Linked DNA regions of Caenorhabditis elegans. The protein of the gene in region 4 purifies or fractionates together with the protein of the main gene of each other region. This does not show direct contact. Each region holds a gene or a part of one and is shown on either strand. Other genes may lie near its edges. The genes, in order: eri-1, eri-5, rrf-3 and gtsf-1.

Region 1 (6,685 bases), about 16 Mb from region 4:
TGGTCTTTCCAAAAATGGTTTTACAACTCTGAAACTCTTATTAAAATGAAGCGGCCGCCGGAAAGATCGTGGCGAGACCAGTCCGTAGGAATACATAACTGCGAAATTATAGCCCGTTGAACGCAAATTACGTGTTCCTACTTGCGACAGACCAAATGCGAATCATCTGTGAAAACAGAAAATTCAAAATTGAACATGCAATATATATTTTTTTTTCAGAGTAATTCTCAACATATTCCGTCTCACATGCATCACGCTCTTCATATACTTCATCGTTGAAAAAATCAGTGGAGAGTTGGAGAAATCAGAAGTTGCAAATCGGAATACGTATGGGATGGTTTTTTTGCCAATGTGGCTTCTCCTGGCTTCGTGGGGATTTCAAATGTGTCGGGCAACAAATAACTAGTTTAACTGCTCATTCTTCTCATTTCCTATCATTTTCTGTACATTATTGTTGTTTTTTCCTATTTTCAACGGGTTTCCAAAAGAAATACAAATAAATACCATCTGAAACGTCATCCGTGTATAACCTAAATAAAACATGTGACAAATTTCATATAAACGCGATTTAAAGGAGAAAAAAGATTGGAGCGAAAAAAAATTGAGATCAAAAATGAAAATGAAATACTCGAATACTACAAAACCTGCAAAAATAATTAAATTCGTATACAAGAAAATCTAGAAACTAGATCGATTTGAAGACGATGCCAACGAATTTTTGGGCGGCGCATTCAACACGCGGTCCACGTCATCGTCGATATGAAGTGGTGATGATGACGTCACATGTTCTGACGTGGCATGTGGTGATGATGTGGATGACGATGGAAACTCGTGGAGACTTGGAGCATTTGAGAGGTTTTCTGAATTTTCACAATTATGTTTTTTAAGTGCTATTCAATAATTTAAACTTTGGGAGCAATTGAATTGACATTTTAATCAAACAGAATTTCAAGCTTTTTCTAATGCAATTTCCATATTGCAATTCCCTCGACGTACCTCTTTCAGAATCACTTCCACCATCTCGTTCCCATACAGCATCTAAATCGACTTCAGTGTGTAACGTAGAACTAACTGGAGGCATTCTTTCCTGAACGAAAAAATTAATTATTAAAACTCCAAATCGATTTGGTTTTTTGCTCGAATTTTATTAAAATTTGAAAACAAAATAAAAGTTCGGTTTTGTATTATACGAAAATCGAAAAGCTTAGTTATTCAGAATTTTTTTCTCTCGCGGATTTTTAAAATCCACACCACGATGAATCTGAAATTTATACCTACATTAATTTTTTTTTGAAAGAAATTTTCGATTATCCCGGAAAACATTGCAAATTTCTGATTTCAAAAGCAGAGTTTTCCGCTTTTTCGGAGAATTTTTGAATTTCGATTCATCGAATCGTGGCGTTGATTTTTAAAAACAAAATTGATATTTTTGAAGTGTTTTTTCTCAACATTCTCACCACAACTTCCAACATTTCAAATTCAGTTCCATAATCTTCCTCTTCACTTTCAACATCCACGTCATCATCCTCTATTATCGGTCTTGCAGTTTGATATGATTTTATTTCACTGAAAACGCCAGAAACTAGATTTTTTTGTTCAAAATTCCATCCAAAGTCCATTACCCAATTTTAAAAATTCCCCGCTCAGCAGCAATTTTCGCGAAATCTTCCGTCTGTTTATTCTCCAAATACTCTCGAATTGCCATTTTTTCCTGGAATGCCGCCTCGTCGTTCTGAAAATTTTGAGTTTTTGTGTGTATAAAACATGGAAACAGAAAATTATTTATTCGGGGCGAATCAAATACAACTATACCAGTTTCAATGAAAAATGTGGGCTTGGAAGAAACATAATTTTTAAACTAAAAATGTAAAATTTGACATGGAATTTTACTTTTGAAATAAAATTTGGAAATTCGTTGGCTAAGACACAAAATTGATAGGGAAAATGTTTACATCAATAAGTATACTTTTGCCAAAATTCGCCTAGCAAATCAAACACTTTGAATCTGTAAAACTAGCTGAAGTTTTTTCATCGAAAATTTCATAAATATCACAAGAATGTAGATGTTTCACCTTATCATCAGTCAAATCATCACATGAATCACAATCCAAATACTCTTCATTTATGAACTCTCGTCGTGTCACAGAGGACAGTTTCAGTGGTAAACGACGCATCCAAAGTTGAAAATCACGACGAGAGATATCGACTGATGTAAGATCCACGTTTGCAGCGTCTTCTAACTGAAAAATTTAATAACTTTTTAATTGAAATTTGTGATGAACTATTTCCTAATTTTCCTAACAAGAAGGAAAGGTTTCCATTTTATCGTCAGACTTCATTTCGATCTGGAATTGTTTCAGTGCCTGTTTTCACTACTTTGGAGGCCTGTAGAATTGCTCCAAATGCGTTTTTTTCAAACTTTAATGTTTTTTCAGAACGTTTAGAAGTAGGTGAACACTCTGGGAGATTTTTCAAAAATTTGTAATTTTTTGAAAAAAATCTGAAAGTTTCTTCACTCCACTTGATCCAAAAATGTTCAGATTTTCACAACAAAAAAAAGTCCAAAAATCTCCCAGAGTGTTCACCTACTTATAACCGTTCTGAAAAACATTGAACTTTGCAAAAAAACATTTAGAGCAATTCAACAGGTCTCCAAATTAGTGAAAAATGCACTGAAACAATTTCATATCGAAATTTTAAGGGTTGAGGGAAGAGCTTTTTTCAAAACATGGAATCACTTGTTGACACCCGAGACCGAATGGGAGAGTCAACCCATCGGGTGAAAACGACGTAGTCTGTTTCGAACCTCTCGCTCTTCATCCTTTCGCGCAGCACTCCGTTGATTCTCCTTATACGAGCATTTCTGATTAATTCTCAACTCAATTTTCAACTTCATCATTTGAATCGCAATCGCTGCAATATTCGTTGCATCATCCAATCCACTATGTTTATTTCCAACAAACGACAGATCCAGACGTTCTAACATGTTTTCAATTCCGGATTTCTGAAGAGAATTGAGGTTTTAATTAAAATTTGAACCTTAAAAACTTACTCCATTTCCCTTGATAAGTCCATTGAATTTCTCTTTGAATGTCTTTTTGATGTTGATAAAACTTCGGAACATATGGGGCATTCGAATATTCGATAAAAGGCATTGAAATTGCATGAATTTCCACATATCGTGAGGTCTGAATAGTTCGTTATGCACAACTTTGAAGTTTTAGTGAACAAAAAATCGTCTTCGATTCCTTACCCATCAGTAACAAATGCGAATCTGGAATTTTTCTGTCCGAGATTGAATTTTCGCATCCATGTGTACAGCCGTTGAAGAGCCTCTCGGAAATATGGAGCAGCATCGACTGTTTCTTGGGCAATTTCTACAACAGGGTTTACATTTTAAAAATGACATTAGTGTCTTACTGGTAAACTGCATACAAAATTCGCTGAGCTTCGGATTTCTGACAGGTCGGACATAGGTTCGAAACTCGCTGATCTGGAAATTAAATATGCTTATTTTGACGATGGATATTATAAAGTTATATATTTTTCGTTTTTTATTTATATTCCTAAAATAAATAAACAAAACAAAACAAAAAAAGCTTTCAGTTTAGTCAGTTTTTATAACTTGATAATACACCAAAGAACTTCCATCTGCCTTAAATTGAAAAATGGGAGAAGGATTTTTCTATTTTTTTCCAATATTTTCTTCACAAGCGAAACAAATTTTATAGCTAAATAAGAAACCCAAAAAAGACGAAAAATGTTGTATTTGAAACGTTTTTTGTTGAATACATTTTTATATTCCAGATTTCGATAGGATGACGAAACGTTTGTCACCTTTTCCCGGAAAAAATGATTTTCTTGCGGGAAAACACGAAAAAAAAAAATAAAATTCGAGCCGAAACCCCAGAGGAAAAATCCAAAATCAAGAATTTCAACTGAGAACTGTTCAATCCTTGTCCGCGGGGAGTACACGACATGCGTAATTCGACATATTCCATTTTCAAAGATGAAAAAATCCTACAATTTTCATTTCCCGAACGTCGATCAAAACTGCCGGTAATTCGATGATTTCGTGTGGGTAATCGTATATAATCTCGACGCACGTACACTCGAAATCAATTGCCTGAAATAATTAATAACTAAAGTATTTCTTTTCCAGAAATTCTGAAAATCATACAATTAAATAGTCAAAAAAGCGTGCAGTTTTATCGGCATTCGGCTCCATTTTTCGATTCAATAATGCATTTTCCTTTCGATAATATTGTGCAACCCGTTTTCGAAGAGTTTTCTTGTTTCCGCTGAAATTAGAGTTATAATTTAAGTTAATTTCGAAATTTTAGTAAGAAAATTACATTATTTCTTTTACGGATGACTATATTTAACGCAAAATGATTCAAAAAATGCTGTTTCTTTTTAACAAAACTATCAAAAATGAAGCAAAGCTATATCTTAAATGTACGAAATTGGGTTCTGTTAGGAAAATAAGAAGTTTGAATGAATTTAGCATAATTTTACCCTGTGGACACTTTAATCTTCATCAACGCTTGTTTTAGCTGTTCAGCAGTCATTGTATCCATTTGCCTTATCACTTTTTTCACGTATTCTGGTTCCACCATTGATTTTAAAGGCTCAACACGTTCGGAGGGTAAAAGTTGCTGTTCACGTGGAATATCGATTGATTTTTCAGATTCGTCGGTTCTGGTTTCAGCCGATTCCACTTCAACTGCTGTTTTTTCTGGTTCGTCATTCTGTTTTGCGTTACTTGCATCGAATTCTTGGCTGATTTTCAGCAAATCTCGTAGACTTTCCAGATATTTTTCGTCTTCTGGAGACGGCTCATCTGCGCTCATTTTTTAACTGAAATTTTAGAAAAACAATGTAAATTCGAATGCGCCTAGATTCTATGTATCGGAGAATATAATTTTTCTTTGGAATTATCACCAATTTCAATGTTACAAATCTAAATAATTAAACAAAAAATTGGTAAGTACAATTAATTTATGGGAGAATTGTGTTAAAGCCCATAGGATTAGTGATGACCCGCAATGTGAATTACAATTTCTGAGTAAGAAAACAGATGGAAGGGGATACATTCATAGGGAATTGCTATTTTTCACCCGGCAAAATATACATATATACGTGGAAAATCGGGAAGTTGAGAGCTATAATATGAATATACAAAATAATCGAACAATAGTTTGTTAAAAAACAAAACACTATACAGAAAGTGAATGATACTTTGAAGAGAAAACTTAAAACATTGAAATTATCTGAAAATTGGAGGGTCAGTAAGAAGAAAATCTTCTAAAAGTTTTGTTTTAGGTTTACAAATAAATAGCTTGATCAAAATTCGAATCCGAGAAGCTGTTTTCGGAAAAATGAGCAATTCTTGGGATTTTATCCTCTGGATGTAGCTCCGGGCACGTTTCACGACGCTCGATTTGCTGAAAAATTAACATTTTAATCACATAATAAAAAATAAAAAAGATTACTCACCACACGATGATTAGCTTCCAAATGTAGAAGCACATGATTGCGGGTCTTCTGAGTGTCTTTGCCAGTTTCTTTCACCATTTGTTCTCGAGTTTTCAGGGCTTTTGGATTTTTAGAAGAACCATTCGATTCTTCTACAACGTGCCCGAATCGCTCAAACGCTTCACCAAGAGTGTGTTCAAGATCGACTTCCTCTGCATTCGCTTGAACTCGTTGAAAATCCTCCGACTGCTCCAGTAACGCAATCTGTGCTTTAAAAACTTCGGCCTGTCCGGTTACATAATCAGCAAAGGAATTGTCCGATGGTACTTTGAATTGCTTCATAAACTCTTGTAATACACCTTGTCCATTAAGCAACTGGTCAACGAAGGCTTTTGCCTCTTGTTCAGCTATTTTCACTTCCTGAAAGTTAAATATTGAAAATACATTCAACATTTCCCGATAGTTTTTGATCTTACTAGGAGTTCTTATTTTTGGTGATCAGAGAGTTATGGGTCGAATGTTATATTTTCTGGAAGCTAATAAAACGAGCATATCGAATTCAAAATAAGAAATTTGCCCAAAGTGATGTTAAGGCAATATTTTCGACGTTGAAAGCGTATTTAAGCCAAAAAAGTCGTTGTTTTTGAAGCATGGACTTCAACGATACAAGAAAATAGTCACCTAACAGAATGTTAAGAACAATACGAAAATCATTATTTTAATAACGATAGCTAAATACTCAAAATATTTCTCTAAAAATCTGAATGAAAATTAATATAACTTACCACTGGCAACGAATGAATACGCAGGTTTTCAGCGAGGAAACATTATAATATTGATAATATAGAAATATAATTAGAAACTATAGCAATAGGAATAATTATTAGAAAAATTACACCTAGGAAGGTGAGTAGATTGAGGGGTCCCGCATATAATATAAAAAGTTCACTTTCAATTCCAAAATTTAAAATTTCAAACCAAATTCACCGAATCAGTGTGATAATCCTGACGCAGCATGTTACCGGCCGTATTTGGATGGTATGATTCATGGAATAGATGTTCGAGTGGTTCAAAACCAGCTATTGACTCTACGGTTTTGTGTTCACACGATTCTTCTTCCGGATTTTCGAAATCAACGCCGACGACTGGAAATCTTCGCACATTATCCGGTAGCCTCGCAGGAGGAAGTTCGTCTTCAGTTGCCGGC
Region 2 (7,622 bases), about 14 Mb from region 4:
AGAAACCCTCTTAAAAAGTCTACAAGAAGGTTTTTCCTTGCGCTTGGAGCGCAAAAGAAAAGAAAAAGGGTTATTTAGACTTAGGAACAAACCCAATTTGAATAAATCATAGGAAATCCCCAATCCGACAAGCCTAAGGGCCCGAATCCTAGTATGTTTTTCGGGCCCTTAGGCTTGTCGGATTGGGGGGATTTCCTATGATTTATTCAAATTGGGTTTGTTCCTAACAAGGGAAGTATTTCAACTTAATCCCGGTTTGGTTGTCGAGTTGGTTGTCGAGAGCTCACGCTCGTCACTGACACCAAGCCTAAGCCCTAAGCCTGACTCAGCCTAAGCCCAAGCCTAAACCTACGCCTGGTCAAAATTTTCAAAATTTTCACTAAAAGTATTTATTTTCTACCAAAAAATCGATAATTTCCAGATCCCAACATTCGTAATCCAGCCACAACAATCCGATGACCCACTTTCGGAAGATATGAAAACTACGCTAATCGCTGGAAAATACACGTGTCTGCTTGTTCCATTGGAATAAATATTGATTTATTGATTTTTATCGTAAAAAATCGATAATTTAACACGTTCACGTAAAACAAACAGATCGTTAAAACGAGGAGGAGATCGATATTATAAAATACATGACAAAAAACAGGAAAAAATTATGTTATCGATTTTGTACTCCTCTCGGGCAAGTGGATTATCGATTTTTTTTTTGCAATTTTTCACGGGAGAAATGCGAAAAAATCAATAAAATCATCCGCTATCCTTATCGTCGCTAACATTTCCATCATCATCATCCTCTTTCTGGGTACGTAAATCGTCGGATCGTTCAGTGAAAAACGGCGACGGCGACGGGATTTTATCGAGCAAATTTTCGTCGTCTTCGTCGCCGGCGACCCGAATCTGCGAGAATTGCAGTTTGCCGGTTTCCAGGAATTCTGAAATGATTGGAAAATTATTGATTTTTACGATGCTCCGATATATTCCGCACATGGGAATTATCGATTTTTGACGAAAATTCGCGCGAATTAGCTATGGAGCGCATTTTCCCCTGAAAATCGATCGAATTGTTCCGCAGGAGAATTTTTGTCAATGGAGCGCATTTGGGACACGAGGCCGCCGGCGCGGGAAATTTGAAATTTTGCAAAATCGGCGAAATCCCATGAAAATTTCGAATTTTTCAGTTAAAAAACCAAAATTTCAGGTGTTCTCGGCGCGAAATTTGAATTTTTGAGTTAAATAGTGAAGTTTTGGTAAAATTCTGTGATTTCGGGTAAAATTATCAATGGAGCGCACAGGAACATGCAAAAATTGCATTTTTGTCGCTTTTCCAGAGAGAAATCCGTAAATTTCTCACCCATATCGGGTCCGACAACGATCGGCACGTCATAGGGTACAATTTCACGCCAAAAATGTGTATTCCACTCCATTTCGCTGTCGGCCATCGATAAATCGTCGTCGAGAAATCGGCCAATTTCAATGCAAGCCGGCGCGATTTTTGTGTGCTCAATGTGCATTCGGTGCAAATTTTTGAGCTTCAGGATGCCACGTGTTCCCAGATCCACGTAGCGAAGAGCCACGTTGGCGTTCGGCAAAAAATCGATAATCTCGCAACGGAGCCATTGAGCCGACGATTTTTGGCGATTTTTGATGGTTGCCATCACGTAGGTTCGGCCGGTTTGGAGGGCGAATTTTCTGGAAAAAATTTAAATAGAAAAATCGGTTTTTCGCTGGTGAAAATGCGCTCTATTGAGAAAAACTTCAAAAAATCGATTTTTGGCGGAAAATTCAATTTTTTCGCTGTTGAAAATGCGCTCTATTGAGAAAAACTTCAAAAAATCGATTTTTGGCGGAAAATTCAATTTTTTCGCTGTTGAAAATGCGCTCTATTGAGAAAAACTTCAAAAAATCGATTTTTGGCGAAAAATTCAAATTTTTCGCTGGTGAAAATGCGCTCTATTGAGAAAAACTTCAAAACATCGATTTTTTGCGGAAAATTCAAATTTTTCGCTGGTGTAATCGCGCTCTGTTGAGAAAAACTTCAAAAAATCGATTTTTGGCGAAAAATTCAATTTTTTCGCTGTTGAAAATGCGCTCTATTGAGAAAAACTTCAAAAAATCGATTTTTGGCGAAAAATTCAAATTTTTCGCTGGTGAAAATGCGCTCTATTGAGAAAAACTTCAAAACATCGATTTTTTGCGGAAAATTCAAATTTTTCGCTGGTGTAATCGCGCTCTGTTGAGAAAAACTTCAAAAAATCGATTTTTGGCGAAAAATTCAATTTTTTCGCTGTTGAAAATGCGCTCTATTGAGAAAAACTTCAAAAAATCGATTTTTGGCGAAAAATTCAAATTTTTCGCTGGTGAAAATGCGCTCTATTGAGAAAAACTTCAAAACATCGATTTTTTGCGGAAAATTCAAATTTTTCGCTGTTGAAAATGCGCTCTATTGAGAAAAAAGCAAAAACATCGATTTTTAGCGGAAAATTCAATTTTTCACTGTTGAAAGTGCGCTCTATTGAGAAAAACTTTAAAAAATCGATTTTTGGCGAAAATTCAAATTTTTCGCTGTAGAAAATGCGCTCTATTGAGAAAAACTTTAAAAAATCGATTTTTGGTAGAAAATTCAATTTTTTCGCTGTTGAAAATGCGCTCTATTGGGAAAAAAGCAAAAACATCGATTTTTGACGAAAAATCAAATTTTTCGCTGTAGAAAATGCGCTCTATTGAGAACAACTTTAAAAAATCGATTTTTGGTGGAAAATTCAATTTTTTCGCTGTTGAAAGTGCGCTCTATTGAGAAAAACTTTAAAAAATCGATTTTTGGTGGAAAATTCAATTTTTTCGCTGTTGAAAGTGCGCTCTATTGAGAAAAACTTTTAAAAATCGATTTTTGGTGGAAAATTCAAATTTCTCGCTGTTGAAAGTGCGCTCTATTGAGAAAAACTTCAAAACATCGATTTTTGGCGGAAAATTCAATCTTTCGCCGTTAAAAATGCGCTCCATCGATAAAACAGCGCCAAGTTCAAATTTTCGGCGAACTTATCGATTTTTTAGCATAATTTTTCAGGTTTTAATCGATTTCCGCATATTTTTCACATTTTTCACTGAAAATTCGAAATTTTCTAACATTTCTTCCATCTCTAGCGGCCGCTGATTCTTGAGGTTCGAGTAGAAATCGTCGATTTTTTGCTGATTTTCCGAGTTTTTTACGAGCTGCTCGAAAATCCAATGTTCATTATCTGAAAAAATTCGAATTGTGCTCAGTACGATGCTCCGCTATCCCTTTTCTCATTGGAGCGCGCTTGCACAACATGCGGTCGGCGGGAAATTTCAAATTTCTGGGTCAATTTTCGCCATTTTACTCAATTTTTCGCTTTATTTCGCGAGTTTAAGCAGAATTTCGAGCAAAATTGTTCAATTTCCACCGTACCAGACATCTTTTCCGGTGCCAAAATCGGTGTAACGTGCATTTCCCAGGGTGATACGGTGCAACTCGGCTCGAGCATCGCCCAAAAGCTTCCATCGGCTCTTCGGAATTGCTCGAGTGCCGTGTCATTCCATTCTGCCACGTGGCACTGCAGTATATCCCAGTCGGCGTCGTCTTCACGGTAATCGGCAGGCGGCTCGTGAGCCCAGTCGGCTGGGAGGTCCCGGCGGAACTCTTCGAGAAGAATCACGTCGAGGTGGTCTTGCTCTTTGTCGAGCTCCTCGAGCTTGGGATTGACTGGAAAAAAATTTTCAAAAAAAAAAAAAATGTTTTTATTTTTTTTTTTTTAACCAAAATTTTTCAAAATTAATTTTTTTCTGAAAATTCATATTTCGACTGATTGTGTCTCACTGAGAGCTTCAATTTGAATATAATCATGACCTTTTTTGCTAAATCTTTAAAAAAGTTGGGTCCCGCCACGAAAACCTCAGGGGTACTGTAGTTTTCGCGGTGGGACCCGATTTTTTGTTCAAATTCTAGCAAAATTGGTCATTATTATACTTAAATTGAAGCTAGAAATGTAGTGAATTTGATTTTTACAAAAATTTTTGAATTTTTTATTCCTTTTTTGACATTTTCTATGAAAAACTAATCCAAATTTCGATTTTTTTTTAGATAATGTTTGAGAAAAATTAGTTTTTTATGACATTTTAAACACATTCCATGTTTTAAACCAAAAAAATAGCGGAAAAACCAAAAATTTCGGGGTTTCGTGGCGAGACCCAAATTTTTCGGAAATTTTTCATTTTTTTAAAACAAAACTATGAAATTCAAATTCAGCTGTTTGAATGCTTCCATTTAAGTATAATCATGACCAGATTCCATTGATTTTGAAAATTTTCCGGGTCCCACCACGAAAAACTACAGTAACCCCGGGGATTTTCGTGGTGGGACCCAATTACTCGTAACCCATAGTCATGATTATACTTAAATCAAAGCTCTCGGCGTGCTGAATTCGAATGTTATATAAACTTTGTTCGGGTTTTTCGGGTTTTTGAAATTTTCGCGAAATTTTTTTTTTCCAAAAATTCAAAAATTATACCCATAAAATTAGTGGGAAATTGAGAGACCATAACATTTTGCATAGAAACCGCGCAAATCTCCTCGATCGCCACTTTTTTATCGATTTCTGTTCCATTTGGCAATCCGTACAGGTTCACGAGAAGAGACGGGCGGTCCGAGCGAAAATCCACGTCACACTGGTTGGCGGTAATTTGAAATTTTGCAAATTTAGAGACAATATTTCGAAATTCGGTGCACTGGGTGTCTGTCCATGAGTCCTGAAAAAATCGATAATTTTTGAAAAATCAATAATTTTCAAAAAATCGATTTTTTTTTTGTAAATTGTTTAAAAACATTTTTGGCGGGCAATTCAAATTCAGATTGCGTGTTGCAAGTGCGCTCCAATGAAAAATCTCCGTTTATTGTTGGATTTTTTCGTATTTTTCAGGTCAATTTTAGCTGAAAAATAGCATTTTTAGGTTAAAAAACCATCAAAAACCCCAATTTCCTCTCAAAAATTCAAATGTCCGGTTTTTCTCAATGGAGCGCACTTTCAATATTTCGTTTGAAAATTTGAATTTTCAGATGGAAATCTCTATTTTATAGTTTTCCAGTCAATTTTTTACGATTTTCATCAGGAAAAATGCACATTTTTGCCATGGAGCGCATTTGCAACGGCGGGAAATTTGAATTTCTCACGGGGTTCTGGTCTTCTTCCTCGAATTTTTCGCGCTCCATTGACAATCGCCTGCCGGACAACGCGTGGGAAAGCCGTGTACTCCACACGGACAAACGCATTAGTTTTATAACTAAAATCGAACCGCGACGCGACACGCAACGCGCCGTAAATCTACCCCATATATGGCCGAGCCAAAATGGCCTAGTTCGGCAATAACTCTTCCATTTCAATAATTTATGAGGTAAGCCAGCCAGAAATCCGTGGATTTTCATCAGGAAAAATGCACACATTTTTGCTCTATAGAGCGCATTTACAACATGCGATCGGCGGGAAATTTGAATTTCTGGGTTAAAAAGTGCTAAAAATCAGACCGAAAGGTGCACCAAACGTCCCAAAGTGCAATGCATCGCCTGCCATGGGTGAAATTTGAGATTTTCATCAATTTGAAACAGACATTTCCACGAAACATTAGCAGTGACCGCAGAATCGATGAAAAAAATCCGGGCGGCCTCGATAAGCTCCAAATTTTTCAAAATTAAACATCGAGCGAATACACGTGGCCGGAGCGGAGCCATCGCCATGTTTCCCGCCGAAAAATCGATAATTCGAGTTGTTAGGCGGTACGGTTCGCGAATCAATAATTGATCATCGGTGACATGATCGACGGGACGGCAGAAAAATGAAGATGGTGATTCGATTCGGAGCAGCTCGACGACTGCCGAGCTTTTTAGAGCTATTCGTCGAATCTCTGGATCTGGAAATTCCGGGTGATACGTTTCGTAGGGCTCCTCCGAGAGCATCTGAAAATCCGATTTTTTGATGGAAAATTTCTTGCATGGGAAATTTGAATTTTTCTTCTTTTTTTAAACACTTTGTTACTTAAAAATCACTAAAAATCAATTAAAATTCAAGTTTCTCGCCGACCGCATGCCTCAAACGCGCTCTAATGAGAAAAACTTTGTAAATTAATTTTTTTTTCATTTTTCACAAATTTTGTAACTAGACAATCATATATTTTAACAGAATCCCGTGTTTTTCAACTAATTATCACTAGAGCGCATTTGCAGCACCTGGTCTTGAGGTGAAAATTTAATTTTTGGTGTTTTTCGCTGGCGAAAATCGATTTTAATCGTTTAATATTAATTATAATCGCTGAAAATGGTATGAAATATGGCGTTTTATCGAAAAATGCTGTTCTTAATGTTAAAAATCAGAAAATCGCGCTAAAATAATTGTTCAGTGGAGCGCAGTTGCCCCAACAGCTGTGTAGTTCTCTTGGACGAGCAGAATCATATTAAAAAAGCAGCTTGGACTGGATTATAAACCTGAAATTCTTGGGAAAAAAGAAAAAAATAAACATTTTTAGTTTTTGGGATTTATTATACAAAAAATCTGCGGGTGGGTGGTGGGGAAAAATAAATTAAACTTTCGTTTTTTATGATAAATACATGAAACTTTTTGAGAAAAAAAAGGGGGGTCCCGTTTGTAAAGATCGCTTAGTTCTTAGCGGTGGAGAGGAAGGCGACGAGTCCGGCGGATCCGATGGTGGAGATGAGCAAGTTGAAGACTGGAGCCACGTTGGCGAGCAAGAAGAACGCCGAGACGAGCATGATGGTCAAGTAGAGCGAGTTTGTGTAGAAGACCGACAAGTAGGTGGATTCGGTGTCGGCGACCTCGTTTTTGCGGAAAAGCGCGCGCTCCTCCTTCTCCTTAACAGTCATTTTCTTGTCAGCAGCATATTGTCCGCTGATCTCGCGTTCCACAGCTGATCCGCGCTTCATCACGATTCTGAAAATTTTGGGGGTTTTTATTGGGGTGAAAAATCGATTTCCGATTTTTAAAAATTCAAAAAAACCCTCACTGATGCTTGAGAAGGCACTTCTGGTTTTTGCAGGCCAGGGACAGGAGGTAGGCAGTGCCGACGGCAGAGAGTCCCCACACGACAAGCGAGTCTTGGATCTGAAAATTTAATGCGTTTCACAAGGTTTTCCTAGCCGATAGAATTTCCGGCTAACCTCCATCTGGTGAACTCCGTAGAAGAGGTAGAGCGGGGCGATGGAGATGATCAACGCGTTGAGGTAGAAGAAGAGGTTTCCCTTGGTGGAGCTGGTCGCCGAGTAGCTCGAGAGCAGAAGTTCCTCTTCCTTGGTGAGCTTGCCCATGGTTTTTCGATTTTCTGAAAGGAAAATGCTTTAAAATGCATTTAAATGTTTAGTGGGAAGTAAAACGGTATTTTCGGGGGTATTTTTCCACTATTTTAGGAAGAAAATGCCTAATTATCAATGAAAATTCAAACAAAATTAATATTTATTAACATTTCCGCCGAAAAAATCGTCAAAAATAAATATAAATTGAGACGAAAACCCCGCCACTCTCCAAAAACTACAACGTGTCTCCGTCGAGTCTCTCTTCGTGTGCATCTGTGCGTCACGGTGTTTGCGTACCGACCTGCAC
Region 3 (7,899 bases), on a different chromosome or scaffold from region 4:
TTCATTCGGCACGACGTTGTTGGCAATCGCGTCCCTAATTGTCTCTCCACTGAGAAGTAAAAGTCGAGCGAGGCGTTGTCGTGCAAGAACCGTTCCAACTGATGTAACATAGATCATATCAGACTTCCGAGTTCCAGTGATTTCGCGAGGAATTATTTCTTTGACACCAGACCAATCCTGAAAGTTTTTCACTAGAAACGAAAAGTATTTTCGAACCACTTACCTTCAAAGATTGCAATATTCTACTCCTACTGATCGGATAATCATCGTTGTAGTTTCTCGAAGAGAACAATGACTCGTTAACTAGTATTGGATCCTTGCTTTCTGTAATCTGATCCACCGCATCCTCATCGTCCAAATGAAGCGCATCAAACCGTCCAGACACAGCGATGGAATGAAATGTACGATATGCAATCTGGAATATGTTTTTTGTTGATAGATCTGGAATATTAAAGATCGAGCTTACAAGATGTAAAGGCATCCATTGTGCACTTTTAGTAAGTATTGGCTCAACAATATCTTTTTCGTAGAAAACTCGAAGACTTATGCTTTCAGCTGATGCGAAAGATTGACTGAAATATTGAAAAATTTTTCCAACACTAGATTTTTAAATTTACCTTGCCAAATATCTGAGAAATTCGAGCATCATTGTTCCCATATCGAAATTTCTCAATATCGGAGCTTCATCTGCATCTTCTTTCTTCGAAATCCATTGCTGAAACATTGTTGTTGGCATCAGAAGACTTTTTTCATAATCAATAGTGGGATTTCCCAGGAGATCTCCGAGCCCTAGACGAATCAAAAGTCTTCCCAGCTGCCAAATCGACAAAACACTTGATGGGAGCACATTTTCTCGTTCAAGCCAAACTTTCAGGATGAACAACATTTTTATAATCTGATCTCCATAAAAATATACGTATCGTCTCAGGAAAAGCGCATCTTTGTGAGATTCAATCAAATCTTTCAATTTGAGAAACTTGTCAAACTGCCTTTCAATGGAGTTTTCGATCTCCTCTTCTAAACGAGCAGCAATTGGATATTTGCCTCGTAAAACTGCGTCATTTTTATCGAGCATCTGCAACAAAAAATTAATATATTTATTTCATAATTTTAACTTACTAATTGTCGCCTCAAATCACACAATGCATCCCAAGCAACCCAGGGAAGACTCTGTCCAATGCATCTTCCAGCCTTATTTATCTTTGGCTGCACATATGCCACGAAATACCATTGCCGAATCTTTTCATGCATTGCCTTCGTACATTTCAACCGAGTGTTCTTTCCATCATTCTCAATGTTGATTTCTTCTCCACCAAACTCTTCAAAGAATTTTGCACGAAATACAGCATACAATTTTTCATAACGAAGCTCAACGACCTTATCAGTGTGATAAAATGAATAGTCGTCTCTCTCCATTCCAGCTAATCTCTTGATACTTGCAGCATGTCCAGACACAACTGAAGCTTCGTCTTCAATTCCATATTCATCCAAAAGTTGTTGCATTCGATCAACGTATTCATCGCGAAGAGTCAATGTTTGTACAAGTTTTATTTCATTTCCGAAGAAAACATCAACGTCTTCTGGACAAATCAGTTTATCATATTCTCTTTCGAATACACTCCCGCGTGTTTCAAATTCTTCCAAAACTTCTTCAACTTTTCGAGCTTTTCGGTGCAATTGTCCATTTAATCGGGTACTGTAGTACATCGGTTTTCCACCTGACATCATATAATCAGGTGTCATTTCGCATTGCTCGAAACTTGACAATGGTTCCGCGGGAACTCCACTTTTCGGAAAATCTACAGCTACTGCACATTTGAGCGCGATGGCGTGACAATTTTCGCTGAAAAATAAGATATTGGCTTAACATGGATAATTTCAAGGAACATACTGGAAAAGTCCGTGAAGATCAGCATAAGCCAAATGAGCGTGACTCATTCTTCCAATTGAATCCTGTTGAAGGTATCGAAGGAAGAATTCAACCATATCATCTGTAGTAGGTTCTTTGTCTTCTTCTGCAGCTGAACTACTCGGAAAAACCATTGCTTCTTCATTATAATCGAGTAGCATTTCTTGATCCCATATTATAGAATACTCATCTCCATCCAAATCTGAACCTGCCATTTCATCGGGATGTGGTCGTGGGCCATGTTGTGGAAATACTACAACATCGACTAAATGAGCTAATGCTGGTTGCCAAACTGCGTCGAAAACTCGAACATCTCCAGGAACGTGACACGGATTTTTGGTAATCAAAACTTTGCCTGTTTTCAATATTGGACGGTTACTGGTTTGTCGGATACTTGGTGAATACTGGATGAAAACCTGTCCGTACTGTAAAAGTCCAGTCTCATCGACAACACCGTACATTGATCTTCCCAAACTTGGAGGCAAGAAAATTTTAGCTTTAGAAATGTGATGGATGATGTTGTAGCGATAAATAGAGAATAGCATATCTCGTATCAATGGATCTACACTCAATTCGAACCCGGCTCGTTTGCTTGCTGCGTTCCAGTCGATTGCCAAGTTTGTGCGATTGACTAGCTCTTCTGCTGCTTGATTTTCATTTATGAGCATATCTAAAATTAGGAGATTATGATTTGTAACCATACAGTAACTACATACTACTCAGAGAACATAGTTCTCTTTCCAAGTAATAATGAACACGATTTGTGATCCTTCTGTGAGAGCTTGCAGATTGTTTTTCCGACACTTGATCCAGGATTGTAATGAATGGACGGTTGAGACAAACTGGAGATGGCATAGCGTATTTTACTACTTCGAGGTATTCATCTTGCAGCTCTCCACCACCTTCACCAAACTTTTGCTGACTTTTTCTGAAAATTGATCATATAATTTGTTTGATAGATCATCACTACCTGAAGATAACTTTAGGCATATTTATAATATCATCGATTGTTGGATCAATAACTAGAATTCCTTTGAAACCTTTAAATCGCACTTGGAAACAAGCTGGTACTTCCTTCAATTGGAGAATCTTAGATATATGTGTTGCCAGTTTGATAGAAATTCGACCACAACCATCAGAAAAACAATATTTGTTCTCTACACCACCTTCAATGTCAGGTTCAACGATCCAGTGATGTCGTTCAAGACGTACCTGAATATTTTCGACTATATGAATATTTTTAACACTAGAATATACCGTTGGTTGTGCTTGTGTAAAGCATTGTCCCATTCGACTCATCATCTTTGGAACACTAATCGCATCTCGGAAATCTCCCATCCATACTCTAATATCTTCTACAGTTCCTGTGACTTCACCAGTTAATGCATTGACTCGAGGAGCGTATAAATAACATCCTTGATCACGCATTTGAGAATTACTCCATCCTAGAAAACTGTAGACACGATCAGCAACTTGAATTCCATTTTTGAGAGTCAAATAAATTCCTTCGGTGACAATATTCGACATGTCTGGAAACTTAGATAATATATTTAAAAATATTTAAAGAATTTCTTACGATCTATATTATTGATGGAAAAGTCGCGAATAGCGAGCCGGCCCAGATTGTCATCTCGGAACACACAACGAAGAGCATAATCAGGTCCAAATCTTCTAACAACTCGATTTACCATCATTACTTCTGGAGCCATTAGCAGTATTCGAGATGGTGTTACAATAACTTTAGCCACTGAAACACAATTCTTCGGCAATGGCTTTGCAAGGCCTACATCTTGAAGGCTTTCTCCTTTCAGAAGTCTTTCGTATTGAATCTTTCTTGATTGATACATTGTTGTGAACGCGGTAACTACATCGATTTGACGACGTTCATCAAATGCATTCAAAAGTTGTTCGAGAGTCTCTTCTGTGGCTTGAGAGCATTCTTTCATTCCCCTACGAACTAATTTCAGAAAGAGCGGCTCGTGTACTAATTCCATTGGCTTTTTCGTGTCATCAACATCATCGTCATCATCTTCATCATTGTCATTGTCTGAACTTGGAATATTTTCATCAGTTGCGTCGAAAAGTTGGTCCGTAAATACACTTCCGCGTGTGATTAGAGCCTGGAGAGCATAATTCGCTCGGAAAGATCCCAGAGAATGGAAAGCCGGGGATGGTGCAAGTTTTCGGCGAATTGAAAAAATGGAGCCGAACATCACTTTTGCTTTGCTTCGAGCAGAAAGTCTAGTAACAATATCCATCAATTGTGTAGACGATACCGAATCGTTATCATCATCTTTTCTCATTGTCAACCGGATCCAGGAGCTTTGCGAGAAAGCTTCAGAAGTACAACCGACACCTCGGCCCTCAGCATCGCCAGGCCAACTCAATACTCTTGTCTGAAAATTTACAAGTTTTTAAAAGTTATTTGCATACCATATCACCCATTCTGTGCACGTTTCCATATTGAGAACCTTCGACTTTGATGGGTGAAAAATCGTATTTTTCGGAATTCCTTCCCAGAGATGCGGTGGATTTTTCATTTGTATATAAATACTGTTCGTAGTTTCATGAGACATGTCGACAACAATTCGAACAAACAAATTATAATATAGATTAAGACGAAATCCGGCATGATCCAAACCATCATCAGCGAATTCGGCTAATCGAACTCCGAAATATACCACTGCCAGTCTTTTGTCATGCTCAAATCTCGCATACGAGAGGTATTTATTGCTTCCTGCCACTTTGAATGAACTGTTTTCACGGGATGCATCTGCATTATGGTGTGACTGAAGCTTTCTTAAAAACAAAAATCTGATTAGAAATTCTGTAGAATATGTGCAACTTACACACTACAAACTGTGTTTTCTTGACTGATGAAATCTCCTCTAACAAGGAAAAGTCCTGAATTAGGGCAGTTTCCAATCGCAATCGCAGAAATATTTATATCCATGTGTTGGGGTCTAAATTATAACTTGAGTATATAAAAAGCGGATGAGTATTCTATTACGTTATTTTTGTGAAAAGCGTATGCATTTTCGGGACTTCCAAAAATACTTGATCATGGAGCATTCCAGTTATTCTAGATGTGAAACTTGATGCGAACTCGGAGAACAATTCATTTTCATCTTCTACTTCACCGTTTGGCGTCAAAACTAAATGAGCATCGATGACGTATGATTTATCTTCGTACGCAGCTCGTGGCACCATCCCCACCTTGATCCAGTTTACCTCGTCAACTTTAGACTGAAATTAAATTGTTTCAAATACGGCCAATTAAAAAATCGCTTACCAATTTCAAGTGTGTTTTCAAAACATCTTTTATATTTTCCATGTGTGCTCGGCAATATCCAAAGCAATCATTATTCATGCTGCCAATGAGCTTAGCATCGAAATTCAGCTCAATCGCCTGTTTTTTACTAAACTGTCTCGTCTTCGCAACTGTTTCCGATTCTTCTGCAGCGGCCCATAACATCCGCACGAGTTTTTCTTGTTCTTCGATATTTACACCACCTCTGTGCTTCGTTTTCTCATAAAGAATGTGAGTTGATGGGAGAGAGTGCCGTTTTAGAACAGAACAGTCGACTGGTTTTGAAGTAGAAGGCCTTTGTGACTGTAGCAGGTAATCACGAAGATATCCACGATTCACTGGATACGAAAAATTGTTTAAATGATTTCCTGGAAAAGCCGACGATGAAGAGTGAACAGGCTGTTCTTGTACGTCAACTTCCGATTTAGATTTTGAATTTCGATCCATCCGAAACGTTGTCAATAGCATCTTGTTTGAATGCCCAATTGTTAAGGTGTTCACTGGAGTGCATTCTGTTTTTCGATTTGGTAAAGTTCCAGACGAAAAATTCGATCTACCACGTGGAAATGTTGATTGACTCTGAGGAACTCCTCTGGAAAAAAACATTGTTTCATTTGACTACCGTTTGCTCACCGAATTTCAATTACCTTGGATGCTTCGGCCTAACAGAAGTTGTAGCATCATCGCTAGAGTCATCATTATCAAACGGGAGCATTTTGTGAAAGACTTTTTGAAAATGGCATTTATTTTACGAAAAAAATGAGAAACAATTTTATTCAAAAATTTGATGATGTATGTTCGCTCCATTGACAATTAGCAACGAGACTCCGCAGTTACGGCTAAAATTTAAATTTGATCAAGCATTAAATCCTTTTTATTTTGTTTTTAAGCGCCTAGGCGCGCCTTTATGTTATTTAGTTAAAGTAGCTGTAACTACTCCGTGTAAGCTGTAAAATTATAATCTAAAAATAAGACTATAATCTCAACACTTTTTCACAACAGTTCCATTGCAATTAACGTCATTATTGAATTTCTATTTTACAATTCTTGTTGCTTAACTTAAGTTCTCTACTTACTAAACAAATATACGAAGCCTTTACAGCATGAGCGCGATCTCGCCTGATACAAAAAGTTTTGCGATTCCGACATTGGCTGATGAAGGTTCCTCAAGCAAGCCAGCATCATCTTTGTGAGTTTAATAAATAACATTTCTTTTTCAAACTACAATTTTTCAGAGATTTGCCGAAACACGAGTCTATTCGTTTCAAGCCGATTAAAACACTTGCAAGTAGAATTGATGGATCGGAGTATTATGACGAGGCGAGCATGGAGAAAGTGATGTCAGTTTGAGACCAGCATATATATTAATATGTTATATTTTTAGGGAAATGCTTGAAATCGGCAGAACCGATGAAGCTGTAGCTTACGCGGATACATTATACTCTAATATAATTGATGATGAACAGCAAGATATTGTCACCATCGCTGAATACGTAAAAATTCTCGTCGTTCTCCGTCAATGGCGGCGTATTAGCCATATTATTGCTCGTGGGAACTATCATCAGATTCACATTGTTTTTGCTTATTATGCCGCTACCGCACTTTTCCAACGGAAATTATACGAAGATGTAGCTGAATTATCGGTCGGTCATCTTCTTCCAAGTAATGGCCAAATTGGACCTCTTCCTGTTCGAACACTTTCACAAGTGACGGGGAGATATGTCGAGGAAGAAAGAATGAAGTACTCATTTGCAAATATGGCCGAATTGGATAATAGCTCTAAAAAGCTCAGAATGGTTCCAGCTCTTATGATAACCATAGCAGAAAGTTTTTTGAAATTGATGAATCGTGATGCTGCAATGATTTGTATTAATTACGCGCTGAGTCTTGTAAGTCATCTTTTATACATGATTTGACCGTGTTTTATTATTTCAGGATAATACAACTCTCCATGTCGAACGATTAATGGCAAAATACAATCTGGTTGAGCCTGCGATGTGGGAGAAGTACAGAAAAGTCAGAAATGAACAGCTGAAGTTACACGAAGGAAATCATGATCCACGAATTCTTATGGAACGTGCTCAACGTGCCTACGAGATGGGTCGATTTCGAGAAACAAAAAAAATCACTGACGAGCTATTTGATCTATTTGGACCACATCCTGAGTGCATTATTCTTCGTATTCACTGCCTAACAATGTTAAAGGATTCTCGATCTCTGCTTGAATTAGGTCATCAACTAGTTAGTGATGATCCTCATATTCCACTTCCATGGTATTGTGTTGCTATGTATTATTATAGTATTGGAGCAAACTCAAGAGCTCGAAATTTCATCAGTATGTTTCCCATTTCATTGAGGTTTAAATAGAGCTTCTTTAGGTAAATGCACGATGATGGATTCGACGTTTGCTGAAGGATGGGTGGCTTTTGGTCATATTCTTCACTATGAAGTTGAACACGAACAGTCCATGAGTTGCTATTACAGAGCGTCGAAACTTGTGGATAAAAGTTCTGAACCGTTCTTGTACACTTCTCTTCAGTACAGTACGCATAGTCAGAAGCTGAGCAAGAAGTTCATGGGAGAAGCAGTTGCTCGGGCACCGAATGACCCTCTGATTCGTCACGAAGAAGCTTGTGTAGCCTATACTGCAAAAAGTTACGCGGAAGCCGATATTTTATTC
Region 4 (2,920 bases):
GAGGCGCGTTTGCTTCAAAATTATGCAAAAAGGACAGCCAGCGACCACGTGGGGATTGTTTATAATTTTCATGGGTTTCTGACTTTTTTTAAAGTTTAACTTTTCTATAGAATTTACGTTATAGAAAAGTTAAAAGTTATAGTTATAGATGATGTCCCGACGCCTCCCGGGTGCTTTTCCGATTTTCGCGCCAAAAAATTCAATTTTTATCGGCTTTTTCCAGTTTTTCACGGGGTTCTGGCCTTCCTCTCATTGAATTTTTCGCGCTCCATTGACAATCGCCTGTCGGACAACGCGTGGGAAAGTCGTGTACTCCACATGGACACTAAAACCGAGCCGCGACGCGACACGCAACGCGCCGTAAATCTACCCCAGATATTGCCGAGCCAAAATGGCCTAGTTCGGCAAACTCTTCCATTTCAATTTATGAGGGAAGCCAGAAATCCGTGGTTTTTTGGTGGCTTTTTCAAAATTCGTTTCGAGACCCGGTACCATAGTTTTAGCACAAAAATTGAAAAAAAAATGCTTCTCTCATTTTACTTGTTCCACTTTTTTAAAAATAAAATCACAAAATTAAATTATCATTCTTCATTTCCAAGTAAGCAAGCCGATTGATCGTCTCGAGCATCATCTCCACCTCTTCCACATCCGATTTCTCGATTTCCGACGTCACCGACAGATTCTTCTCCTCCTCGTCTTCATCCGAGTCATCTGATCCATCTAGCGACTCCTCGTCCTTCTCGTACTCTTTCCGAAGCTTCTGTGCCGCCAGGTGCTCCGCCACGTTCAGCTCCAGCGGCTCCAGTGACAATTGGCGTCGAAGATCGGCGGATTGACGTTTGCAGAAGATCTCGTGGAATTGGAGCTCTTCTTCGGGAAGGAAGTGACGCATGTTGTAGGAGCATCTAAAAAAAATAATGATAATTATTATAGAAAAATTGGAAAATTAATTGAGCAAAAAAAAAACCTCTTCAATTTCAACGAATGCGGGTAAAAATGCAATTTTTCCGTGCGACACTTCCACAAGTGCGTGTTGAACTCCTCCATTGACACCTGAAATATAAAATTTTTAATTTTAAATTAAAAATATATCAATTCCAACCTTGTGATCCGAATTGTAAGGGCATGTTATCGAAAATCGATCATTTTTTGAAGTCCCAGGGGCCTCCGATTCTCCCGACGCCATCTAAAATTTCGAAAAATCAATAAATTCGATGAAAAATTGGATAAAATCGCCAAAAAAATTGGATGAAATCGAGGAAAAATTCTTGGGCGGGGCTTCGTAAATCTACACGCAATTGTGCCGCACGGGGTTTTGCAAGGAGTGGGCATGGAAAAAAGCCTTGACCGCGACGCATCGGCGTGCGGAGCGGCTCGAAAAAATGTATTTATTTCAGCGATTTCACCGAAAAAATTGAAAATCCAGCAATTTTAAAGGAAAAACCCAACAAAAATCCAAGTTTAATCAATAAATCGTTAATTTTCAGTTCAAAATCTGAATAAAATTCATCAGAACCGTTGTGAGAGTCAGAAAAAATAATTTTTTAAACAGAAATTTATATGCAAACAAGTTTCAGTTTATCATAGAATAATAAAGCAAAATGGGAGATCAAACCAATACAATTTTGTGATCATCGGATGATTTTTTTTCAAATAAAATAGGTACACAAGCGGCAAATCAAAGAAAAAAAACCAATTATTCACTTCTTCTTCTTCAATCCCTTTCGTTGTGGAGCCTTCTGCGGAGCCTCTGCAACCGCCGCGAGACCCTGTGCACGGCACTCATTGGTGCAATACCAGTCGCCGGCTGGAGCAGTGATCATTCCGATGCATGTGAAGTGGAACCATCCGTACTTGCAGCCCGGATTCTCGCATTCGATCATTGTGTCGTTTTTATCCTGAAATTATCCCAATTTGGCGATATTAAGCGGCGGCGGAAGCTCACGGAGCCCTTACCAGTTGACACCAGCAGTACATTTTCGGTGGCTCGGCGGCGGCCACTGCTTTCTCGGATTCTGGCTTTTTCTTCCGACCGCGCTTCTTCTCATCCACCGACGACGGAGCATCATCATCTCCCTCGGAAAGCTTCTTCTTACGATGACTTCGCACTGACGGAGAACTGCTTGGCGGAGTTTCCGGTGCTTTTGGAATCTTATTCAGGTTTTCAATGAACTTTTGCTCTTCTTCCATGAATTTCCCGTAGACATCCTTCAGAAGAACCTTCAAACCGCTCGCAATCTCTATTTTTTGGTCGGAATATTCGGAAACTTTCGCCATTTTCTTCTGAAAATTGATAAATTCGCATTTTTTAGGTGAAAAAATCATAAAAATTTGGATTTATAGGTGAAAAATCACAAAAATTGCGATTTTTAGGTGAAAAAATCATGAAAATTGTGATTTCTAGCTGAAAAATTATAAAAACTGGAATTTTTAGGGGAAAAAGCATAAAAATTGGGTTTTTTAGGTGAGAAAATCATAAAAATTTGGATTTTTAGATAAAAAAATCACAAAAATTGCGATTTTTAAGTGAAAAAATCATAAAAATTTGTATTTTTAGGTGAAAAAATCACAAAAATTGTGATTTCTAGCTGAAAAATTATAAAAATTGGAATTTTTAGATGAAAAAATAATAAAAATTGCGATTTTTAGGTGAAAAAATCACAAACATTGCGATTTTTAGGTGAAAAATCATAAAAATTTGGATTTTTAGGTGAAAAAAATTATAAAAATTGGGTTTTTTAGGTGAAAAAATCAAAAAAATTTCGATTTTTCGCCTAAAAATCGCGATTTTTATGATATTTTCACCTAAAAATCCAAATTTTTATAATTTTTTCATCTAAAAACCGCGATTTTCATGATTTTTTCACCTATAAACCGCAATTTTCAAACTTTCGCCATTTTCTTCTGAAAATTGTTAAAT

The links.
Region 1: the proteins of gtsf-1 (region 4) and eri-1 purify together in Caenorhabditis elegans (affinity purification with mass spectrometry; 2 studies listed by BioGRID). This does not show direct contact.
Region 2: the proteins of gtsf-1 (region 4) and eri-5 purify together in Caenorhabditis elegans (affinity purification with mass spectrometry, with the first as the bait; one study listed by BioGRID). This does not show direct contact.
Region 3: the proteins of gtsf-1 (region 4) and rrf-3 purify together in Caenorhabditis elegans (affinity purification with western blotting; one study listed by BioGRID). This does not show direct contact.

The regions. Positions count from the first base shown.
Region 1 is NC_003282.8:415,099-421,783, forward strand, and holds eri-1 (3'-5' exonuclease eri-1), read right to left. Parts: upstream 4,861-6,685; 5' UTR 4,854-4,860; coding exon 4,519-4,853; intron 4,302-4,518; coding exon 4,181-4,301; intron 4,127-4,180; coding exon 4,025-4,126; intron 3,494-4,024; coding exon 3,421-3,493; intron 3,378-3,420; coding exon 3,254-3,377; intron 3,189-3,253; coding exon 3,053-3,188; intron 3,005-3,052; coding exon 2,807-3,004; intron 2,241-2,806; coding exon 2,073-2,240; coding exon of another isoform or gene 1,983-2,072; exon of another isoform or gene 1,770-1,982; intron 1,733-1,769; coding exon 1,623-1,732; intron 1,567-1,622; coding exon 1,458-1,566; intron 1,088-1,457; coding exon 997-1,087; intron 861-996; coding exon 679-860; 3' UTR 537-678; downstream 1-536. Other genes in the region: T07A9.12 (uncharacterized protein), read left to right, coding at 220-406; Phosphatidylinositol 3,4,5-trisphosphate 3-phosphatase and dual-specificity protein phosphatase daf-18, read right to left, coding at 5,328-5,447, 5,500-5,898, 6,466-6,685.
Region 2 is NC_003282.8:2,389,167-2,396,788, reverse strand, and holds eri-5 (Tudor domain-containing protein), read right to left. Parts: upstream 5,969-7,622; coding exon 5,540-5,968; intron 4,768-5,539; coding exon 4,530-4,767; intron 3,725-4,529; coding exon 3,431-3,724; intron 3,240-3,430; coding exon 3,128-3,239; intron 2,316-3,127; exon of another isoform or gene 2,253-2,315; intron 2,106-2,252; exon of another isoform or gene 2,043-2,105; intron 1,693-2,042; coding exon 1,355-1,692; intron 936-1,354; coding exon 751-935; 3' UTR 533-750; downstream 1-532. Other genes in the region: Y38F2AR.10 (Major sperm protein), read left to right, coding at 422-532; trap-3 (Translocon-associated protein subunit gamma), read right to left, coding at 6,665-6,956, 7,030-7,127, 7,184-7,330.
Region 3 is NC_003280.10:8,160,593-8,168,491, reverse strand, and holds the start of rrf-3 (RNA-directed RNA polymerase), read right to left. Parts: upstream 6,028-7,899; 5' UTR 5,935-6,027; coding exon 5,867-5,934; intron 5,812-5,866; coding exon 5,202-5,811; intron 5,156-5,201; coding exon 4,920-5,155; intron 4,873-4,919; coding exon 4,759-4,872; intron 4,709-4,758; coding exon 4,351-4,708; intron 4,306-4,350; coding exon 3,486-4,305; intron 3,439-3,485; coding exon 3,167-3,438; intron 3,122-3,166; coding exon 2,880-3,121; intron 2,838-2,879; coding exon 2,626-2,837; intron 2,580-2,625; coding exon 1,892-2,579; intron 1,844-1,891; coding exon 1,120-1,843; intron 1,076-1,119; coding exon 618-1,075; intron 573-617; coding exon 467-572; intron 416-466; coding exon 224-415; intron 178-223; coding exon 1-177. Other genes in the region: emb-27 (Cell division cycle protein 16 homolog), read left to right, coding at 6,323-6,408, 6,455-6,559, 6,604-7,108, 7,155-7,554, 7,598-7,899.
Region 4 is NC_003282.8:16,864,106-16,867,025, reverse strand, and holds gtsf-1 (CHHC U11-48K-type domain-containing protein), read right to left. Parts: upstream 1,187-2,920; coding exon 1,103-1,186; intron 1,054-1,102; coding exon 968-1,053; intron 906-967; coding exon 566-905; 3' UTR 522-565; downstream 1-521. Other genes in the region: ING family member lsy-13, read right to left, coding at 1,701-1,898, 1,957-2,283.